Linked DNA regions of Tamandua tetradactyla. The protein of the gene in region 1 purifies or fractionates together with the protein of each later gene. This does not show direct contact. Links are inferred from orthologs where the notes say so. Each region holds a gene or a part of one and is shown in the gene's direction. Other genes may lie near its edges. The genes, in order: EXOSC7 and MPHOSPH6.

The links.
Region 2: the proteins of EXOSC7 (region 1) and MPHOSPH6 purify together in Homo sapiens (affinity purification with mass spectrometry; 4 studies listed by BioGRID and IntAct, counting the BioPlex papers as one, with this or other methods). This does not show direct contact. The link is inferred for Tamandua tetradactyla from reciprocal best matches to the Homo sapiens genes EXOSC7 and MPHOSPH6.

The regions. Positions count from the first base shown.
Region 1 is NC_135341.1:41,897,177-41,901,090, reverse strand, and holds the start of EXOSC7 (exosome complex component RRP42), read left to right. Parts: upstream 1-990; 5' UTR 991-1,041; coding exon 1,042-1,098; intron 1,099-3,914. UniProt on the Homo sapiens protein: Non-catalytic component of the RNA exosome complex which has 3'->5' exoribonuclease activity and participates in a multitude of cellular RNA processing and degradation events.
Region 2 is NC_135342.1:76,859,922-76,863,835, reverse strand, and holds the start of MPHOSPH6 (M-phase phosphoprotein 6), read left to right. Parts: upstream 1-1,060; 5' UTR 1,061-1,108; coding exon 1,109-1,159; intron 1,160-1,989; exon of another isoform or gene 1,990-2,487; intron 2,488-3,914. Other genes in the region: uncharacterized protein LOC143659822, read right to left, coding at 725-1,060. UniProt on the Homo sapiens protein: RNA-binding protein that associates with the RNA exosome complex. Involved in the 3'-processing of the 7S pre-RNA to the mature 5.8S rRNA and play a role in recruiting the RNA exosome complex to pre-rRNA; this function may include C1D.

The DNA.
Region 1 (3,914 bases):
GTCTGTACAAGTATGAAAGTATGTCTCTGCCTGTCTTAAAGGGTTCCTACGGTGACCCCAGCTTCACCTTGCAGGTATCCTCTGGATATCCAAGGCCCATACTCTGACTCGGCCACACGGGGCTGGCTCCCACCCGTACCCTCCCGGGCAGCTGTCCACAGCTCCTAGCTATCAACTCCATCAATTTGAGGCTTTCAATCCCCACTGGGAAGTGCAGGGGGCATCCTGGCACTGCTTCCTTTGCCAGCGCGGGTTGCCTCCCCACTACTCTCTATGAGACAATGGTTTGGCGATCGCCCAGAGCAAGGGGACCCTGCAAAGTTCTAGGTTAGCATTCTGTCCCCGTGGGGGTGATGGTGAGATAGAGTGAGGATCTCTCAGGACTAATGTCTTCCACTATCAACCCTACCCACTGAGAACCATCTAAAGAAGGATTCATTGCCTCTTAACCATTCTAGGGGCCGGGGAAATGGAACTGAGGATGGGGAGAAAGGAAAGGACAGCAAGGAGACAGCCCCGGGCCAATTACGACGCCCAGCTTTCCAGACTAGGGGTCTGTCTCTCTCTCTCACACACACAACCTGCTACTTCAACTCCAGCTCTGGGCCAACCACGCCGTGCGCCTCTCCCACTGCGAGTCTCCTGGTCCCTGCCCGCGCCCTCGCCTCATCCCAGCTTCTTCACTCCAACCCCCGCCCCCTCCCAACTGACCGTGAAGCCGGTGGCAGTTTCCCAGTCCCAGGCCCCCGGGGGGTTCCGTCCGTCGCCGCCGTCGCCTCTCCCTGGAGTCCCACACCCGGGACTCTTTTACGGGCTGCGGCGATGGCTCCACGCCTCGAAGTGCCACAGCTCCCTGGACTCCGCCAGTTACCGGACAGCGCGCAGGTGAAGCCCATCGAGCTCCCGGCAGCTACGGCGGCGGCAGCAGCGGCTGCAGGAGGGGCCGCCGCGCAGGTTGATGACGCAAAAGCGCGGGGAGGGTGCGATCCGCGCGGAGTTGGCGCGGGCTGGTGACGTATCTCGCGCAGTGCAGTCGGCAGCATGGCGTTCGTGTCGTTGAGTGAGGCAGAGAAGGTGTATGTTGTGCATGGCGTCCAGGTATCTGCAGTAGTGGCGTCGGGGGACGGCCGCCAGGTTCCGTTGGCCTACCCGGAAGGAGATTAACTCAGCTGCCGCGGGTTTGGCTTACCTTGTCATTAAGTGGCTCTGCGGCCGGTCTTTGCAACCTAGAGCCTGCAACGTAGGCTTTTTTAGGACTGGTGATCCGTTTAGGACTGTTTGCGTTCTTGCCGGTTTTCAGGTCTACATGGTTCTGAGCCCAGGTGGGAACCGGTGGGCGCTCCCGGAGACTTGCTTTTAGTGAAGGAGCACTACTCCCGGGACCATCTCTTTGGCCTTCGCATGTCACTTTCCGTGACTGGGCCTTAGATTTCTCCTATAGGAAATGGATACGTGGGGGTGGGTGTTGTGGAGCACACTGAAAGAGAGACCGCATAATTCGAAACTGCAAGCGAATTTGGAGTCTTTATTAGCCAGCCAGCGACTGCCTCAGAAACTTCCAAGGAGGAAGATTGAGAGAGCAGCACCCGGGGGTTTTCAAGGTGTGCTTATAAAGGCTAAAATCTTGTTGTGGTTTTGCAGTTGCTAGCAGGCAGGCATATCACAGAAGCAGAAAAATGCCGTTAGCTGTTGCCAAAACATATCCTGTTCTCTCAGTTTCCTAACATTGGTTATTGTTAAACTCTTGGGGACATTCTGCCCCAATGTTGTGGGGACTTTCCCTGCTTGGGCCTGATTGATTGCTCCTGGCCCTCCACAGTGGGGGGTTCCTGGCCCACTTTTCCTCACCTAGTAGTTGGGAGGCACAGAGAGAGCGTGCACCCTAGGTGAATGCGCTTTGAAAATATAAGTGTCTTGCGAATAAAGGGGAGGAATATTTAGGTTTATAAAGCGGCTCTTTAAATCGATAGCATAATTGTTGCTGTTTCCCATTTTGCCAGTGGAGAGCTAAAATCCCTAGAAACAGTTAGAACCAGGCATCTTCTGTGTTCATTCATCAACACCTGCTTTTGACCACTCCAGAGGACTGGAGGACTTTGGACTTGGTAATGAGCCACCTCAGTTCCCACTTTGGCTGTTTCCCCATTTGTTATGTCACTGTGCAGCCCTCCCGTCCAAGTTCTTCATCCCACTCTTTGCAGAGTTCTGGTGTCAGCCCCTTCCCCTTCCCTTCCTGAGCCGAGGCCTGCTACTACAAAGTTAATGGTCCCGTGGTGTGGCCATCAGGTTAAGCGATCAGCTATGATCAGCTATCGTTAAAGGTCCACAACGGTGAATAAAGCTCATGATCTTTTTGAAATTGTGCCGTGCTGTTATCCTCGGTTGTTATAGATGAAGAAATGTCAACATTTGGCTTACAGGTTACATATTAAATCTGAATAATAGAGTCAACAGTTCCATGTGCTTTTAAGTTTATGCTTCAGATCAGAAATAGTGGGATATGTGTGTGTTATTTGTTTGGGGGCGGGATATATAAATCCTCACAGAGCTATTAAATTTATCCTTCTGTCTTAATTTTGTGCCATTCTTCATGTGATTTTTATTCTCAGAGATGCTTCTTGGGGAGGCATTAAGGATAACAATTTGCCTCTAAATGTAAAATCCTTTTTATTTCTTTCTTTGCTACCACAGTCATGAAATATTGATTTCACTGTGCAGTCCATTTTTTCTCACATTCCATTTCTGACAGTGGGACCAAGGGACATAGGTTCCTTGTCTGTTACCTCCCAAGGCTAGACAGATCATGTCCTAAGTTCCAATGGCAACTCATTAGCTATCCGGCAGTATATTAAGGACCCATTTTATTACACATCTATTATGTGCTCAGTGCTGTGAAGAAGTAAAAAAAAATACAAGCTATGTTTCTGGCCCTTGAGATGCTCAGGATCTAGTTTGGGCAAAATTAGTTGTTTATTTTTCATTATTGAATATCCAGCCTGTGGCATATTATGTGAGAAGCAGTAGGGGCACTAAAATATTTGTGAAATGCATAAATGAAAGATAGGTAAGACAGGAAAAATGAATAACGTATAGACAATGGCATATAAGGTATATGCCATAAGATACATACCGAGGGAGTGTAAGTCAAAAAAGGAACTGAAGATTACTGGAGGCTGTAGTGCTCTGGAAGACATCCTTAAGACAGAGGATTTGCTTCCCTAAATCCATGGCAGATATGTTTCTACAGCACTCAGTATTTATTCTTTCATTTAACACATAGCTTAACCTGACTTGGGAGATAGGAAGGAGCTTGCCCTTATATTGTTCACATGCTAGAAGTAAGATAAAGAAATTTCAAATCTAGTTGTGTGTTTATGTTTCATTAAAAATTGTATTGAGTGCTATGAAGGAAAAACCTGAGAACTCATCTAGTCTCTTCAGATTTCCCTGAAGAAATGGCTTTTGAGCTGAGCTTTCAGGGTGACTGCCAGTTAGGCAGTAGCATAAACATTCCAGGGGGTGGGATGGTGAGTCCCCAGTACCTCAGGTGGAGGAAGCATGGAGCCACAGGAATGAGCTGGGAGTAATGGTGGAAGATTGGCTTACAGAGTTGGGCAGAAACCACATCATAGGGTCATAGAGCCTCAGCCAGTCTCCCATCATGGGTCTTGATGTGTAATCATCTGTTGATTTGTTTGTATGATATCCCTAAGGCCTAGGGAGCCCTTCGACCAAACCCAACAAGAAGGCATCTAGGGAGTCTGGGTGATACATTTTGGAAGGGGTTAACCTACTAGTACACAGATTAGGGCAGAGAAAGACAAAATGGATCTGAGGAGGTGAGGGTAGGGCAAAAGGAAAGTTTGATAAATCACTATTTTGATATATGATTTGATTGCTTTCTCTTAAGGCCC
Region 2 (3,914 bases), on another chromosome or scaffold:
TGTGCTGTGGTCAACCTGGTTTGCTGAGTGGGAATGGATTGCGGAGACACAGGGCCCTGCCCCACCTCTTCCATATTGAGAATCAGTGACTACAGGGAGCAGCCTACAATGACCCAGACAGAAGTAAGAGGTCATTAAACCTCCCGGGGAGGTGGTGCAGGGGAGTATAGATGATATCATAAACAAAGGATTAAAACTCCCCTTCCTTGACCACTACTGATGATAAGACTCCAGACCCCTGTGTCACAACCCTGCCGAACTCTGGTCTCAAGCCCTATAGAATGTCTCTGTTTTAAACCCTTATAAGCTGACCCCTTGCACTCCAGGCCCCTTAGGGAGCACAGACTTTCACTTTCCAGACGGCCACCGTGTGGACAGATCTCCTGTTAGTAAATCCCAATAAACCCAAGCCTAACTCTCTGCCAAGGGTGGTCTCTGGTCTTTGGGTTGTGCTGGATTGGGACAGGACATCCTTCTTAGATAACAAAGAGATCACTTAAGCACAAAGACGCAGTTAATAGGTGAATGTAACATGGTTTTTCACCGATTTGTAGCTTGGTGGTTAAGAGTCCTGCTGAACCAGACTGCCTGGATTTACAGGCCCCCTCCTTCATTCTTAATTTGGGCTCATTAAGGAAGTGCCCTATATTTTACACAACTGCAACAAGGCGAGGATGAGAGAACCGCCACGCGGGGCTACTGTGAATACGAACTGAATTATTACGTAAGAAGCCGCGATCCAGATGAGAAGGCAGGTCTGGCAACAATCGCAAATGCTCACTGGAATGCCTGAAGCGGGGCCCCCGAGAGGCACACACTCCACGCGCGCCTGGGGGACCAGGGACGGGAAGCTGGCGGAGAAGGTGGCCATCAGCTCTCGGTCTACTCTGATCTGGGGTCTCTCTACGGGCGCTAAGTCCACTAGAACTCCGCGTCGGCAGCCCACAGCAGCCTCGTCAGCTCCCTCGGGCGCCAAGCCCAGCTGAGGCAGCGGGCCGGGGCCACGGGGCAGGCGATCTAGCGTCACGTATGACGCCACGACGCACGCAGCAGCACGCATGCGCGGCAGGGCTGAAGGCTGGAACGCGGCGCCGGATGGGAGGTTGGCATGGCGGCCGAGCAGAAGAGCAAGTTGTCCAAGAATCTGCTGCGCATGAAGGTGCGGTGGCACGGGCCGGGCTGGGCCGGGCGGGGCGGTGGGGCAGCCGGTCTTCCGGGCCAGGCTGGGGCCGAAGCGGCGGGCGCACAGGGGCACCAGAGAGGGCCCGGAGGGCCTCCAACTTTCGCGTTCATTCTTTCATTTTGAGCCGTCTCCGTATTAGGCATACCGGGTTATGAACTAGGAGCGGGGACACGTACACGAGTGGTTAGAATACAGCGTGCCGGGAGCACTCGTGGTGGAGCGCGGAGCTCTGGGACCTCACCTGGACTCAGCTTCAAAGAAAGCATCTCGCGGAAACTAGCCCTTAGGCTGAGGCTGAAGGATAAGTTGTGGCAGGGGCCATATGGGGAACATAGGAGCGTCAGCTGAGTGAAGGGCGTGTTACAGTCTAAAAAGCTGTTAAAAGAAAAAAAAAAAATAAAACAAGCATGGAGATTTTCAAGAACTGAAAACAATTTAGTATGACTGGAAAGAAAGTAGCAGGAAATGAGGTTGGAAAAGTAGACAGTGGTCACAGGGTGCAGGGCATTTGGGGCCAAACGAAGGATTGTTACCTTTATCTTAAGAGCAGCGAAAAGCTGTCGAGCACCAGGGTCAGTCATTTGCTGTGCATTGTACTTTTATTTACTTTAATGTTAGTTTTGACTCTTCAGTGGAGAATGCTTTGGTGGAAGGAAGGCCGTATCATGAACAAAATTGAAGTCAGTAAGCCAGTTAGAAGTTCTGATGATCCCAGTGAGGGTAGATGATGCCCTGAGTAAGGTGCGAATGGAGAGAACTATTATAGTTGAGGTGCAAGTGAATTGTTATCTCACCGAATTTTAAGAAAAATTGTTTTTGTATTTGAGATTGGAAGCAGTTTAACTCTATAGTTTCGAAGTGAAGAGGAGGTGAGGGGAGACAAGGGTAAATATAATGTATATAGGAATTAAGACAAGGAAAACAGCCAAATCGTAAAACAAAAACTTGTTCTGGGTATTTTGCATGTAGTAACCCATTTAATCCCTGTAATAACTCTGAGTTAACTATGGTTATTATCTTTTTTTTTCAGCTGAAGCAATTGAAACAGAAGTAGCTTGCCAAATACACAGGCTAAGAAGTAGTGCAGACAGGACTCTTAACACAGACAAATTTCGTTCTAGAACCCCACTTCATAATGACTACACTGCCTATTGGTGAACACTACTTATAGAGATATGCAAACTGTTAAATGTTTAGAGGGTCTGGTGGAATTTCTAGCAAAAGGAAAATAAGAAATAAGTAATGTTTAAAAGATCAGAGAGTAAGCATTGTGTGTACAAGATTCAAATGGAGCTGGAGTGAGGGTATGACTAGGGGAGGATGCAACTAGGGATGAATAGGGTGGGTGAGGGTAGAGGGTAAATTGTAGAATTATTTTGTTCTGATGTACTGCTTTCAGGCATATTAGCAAAATTTGAAATTTTAGTGAGTAGAATTTTCTTCTTGTTTAATGGTTTGTAATCATGTAGACTTCAGAGAAGTGACATGCATCCACAGCAGGGGATTGAAAAGATTTTAGCTGTTATTTTCCCTCTTGTAATAAGCCAAATGGATATGTGCTGAGTGATTTTAGGTTCCAGACAGAAAAGCTGATTCTGGAACTAGGAAGGAAGAAATTAACTTTAAAAAACAATTGCCAAAAAAAAAAAAATGCCCACCCTCACCCTAATGATTGGGGTTGGAGACTTAGCTGAATGTTGGAAGCAAATGTGAAACAAAAAAAGAAGAAGGAGAATGAATAAAATGTTCTCAGTTTGGGTTAGCAAGTTCAGTTTATGGTCCGAAGGAATTTACAGGATTAGCAGGAAGGAATTTACAGGATTAGCAGGAGACACTAAACACATGGGAGTGGAATGTCCTGTGAGAATGAATGGAGCAGCTATAGACTTAGGCTACTATATACAGTATAGTTCAGCCAGTGCCAAGTACAGAACAGGAATAAGAGAATTGAAGTTTTAATCCTTGTTTGAACAACAAACAGTGCTTGAAAACTCTAACTCTGTCAGCTATTGCGAGGTGAGGAGAGAGCCTGTTGGGAAGTTGAAAATGAAGGATGTTGTTGGAAGGTCTGTCAGTATGATGATTTGGTTGTAGAGAGGGCTTTTACTTTGTGATTTTAACTGTTTTGCCCTTAAGAATCTACAAACTTCATAGGGGTTGGCCCTTGAAGTACAGCTTGCAGGTTGTACTATCTTTCCTGCAACTACTCAGTTCTGCCATTGTACTGAGAACCATAAGCACATGGCTATATTCCAGTAATGCTTTATTTACAAAAACTGGTGGCTATAGTTTGTGACCCCTGCTGTAGGTCATCTCTAACTTTCAGAGTGTGTTCTCAGATGCTGTAGAGTAGGAAGAATTAAATTGTAACCAAAGTCTGGAGTTTCTTGATTTGTATTTAAGAGTGCTCTATCCTTTCCATATTTTTGAAAGAGAATGAGAAATCCTGTATATTATACCATAAAGAATGCCTACTGACTAAAAACAGAAGATAAAGTGGCAGTTGGCCAGGATTGGTGCATTTCACTGCCTGAAATAAGAGTGATGAAATAATGCTAAAGAAGCATCCAAGAAAAGGAGACTCGTAAAATAAGACAAATCTAGACTGAATAAGAGAAATGGTCTGCTATTCAGAGTCTCAGTCTTTTGGAAAACACAAAAGAATCCTGATGAATGGTATATGAAAATCAGGGAAAGATGCTTGGTCCTAGCAAAAGGACATTTGCTCTGT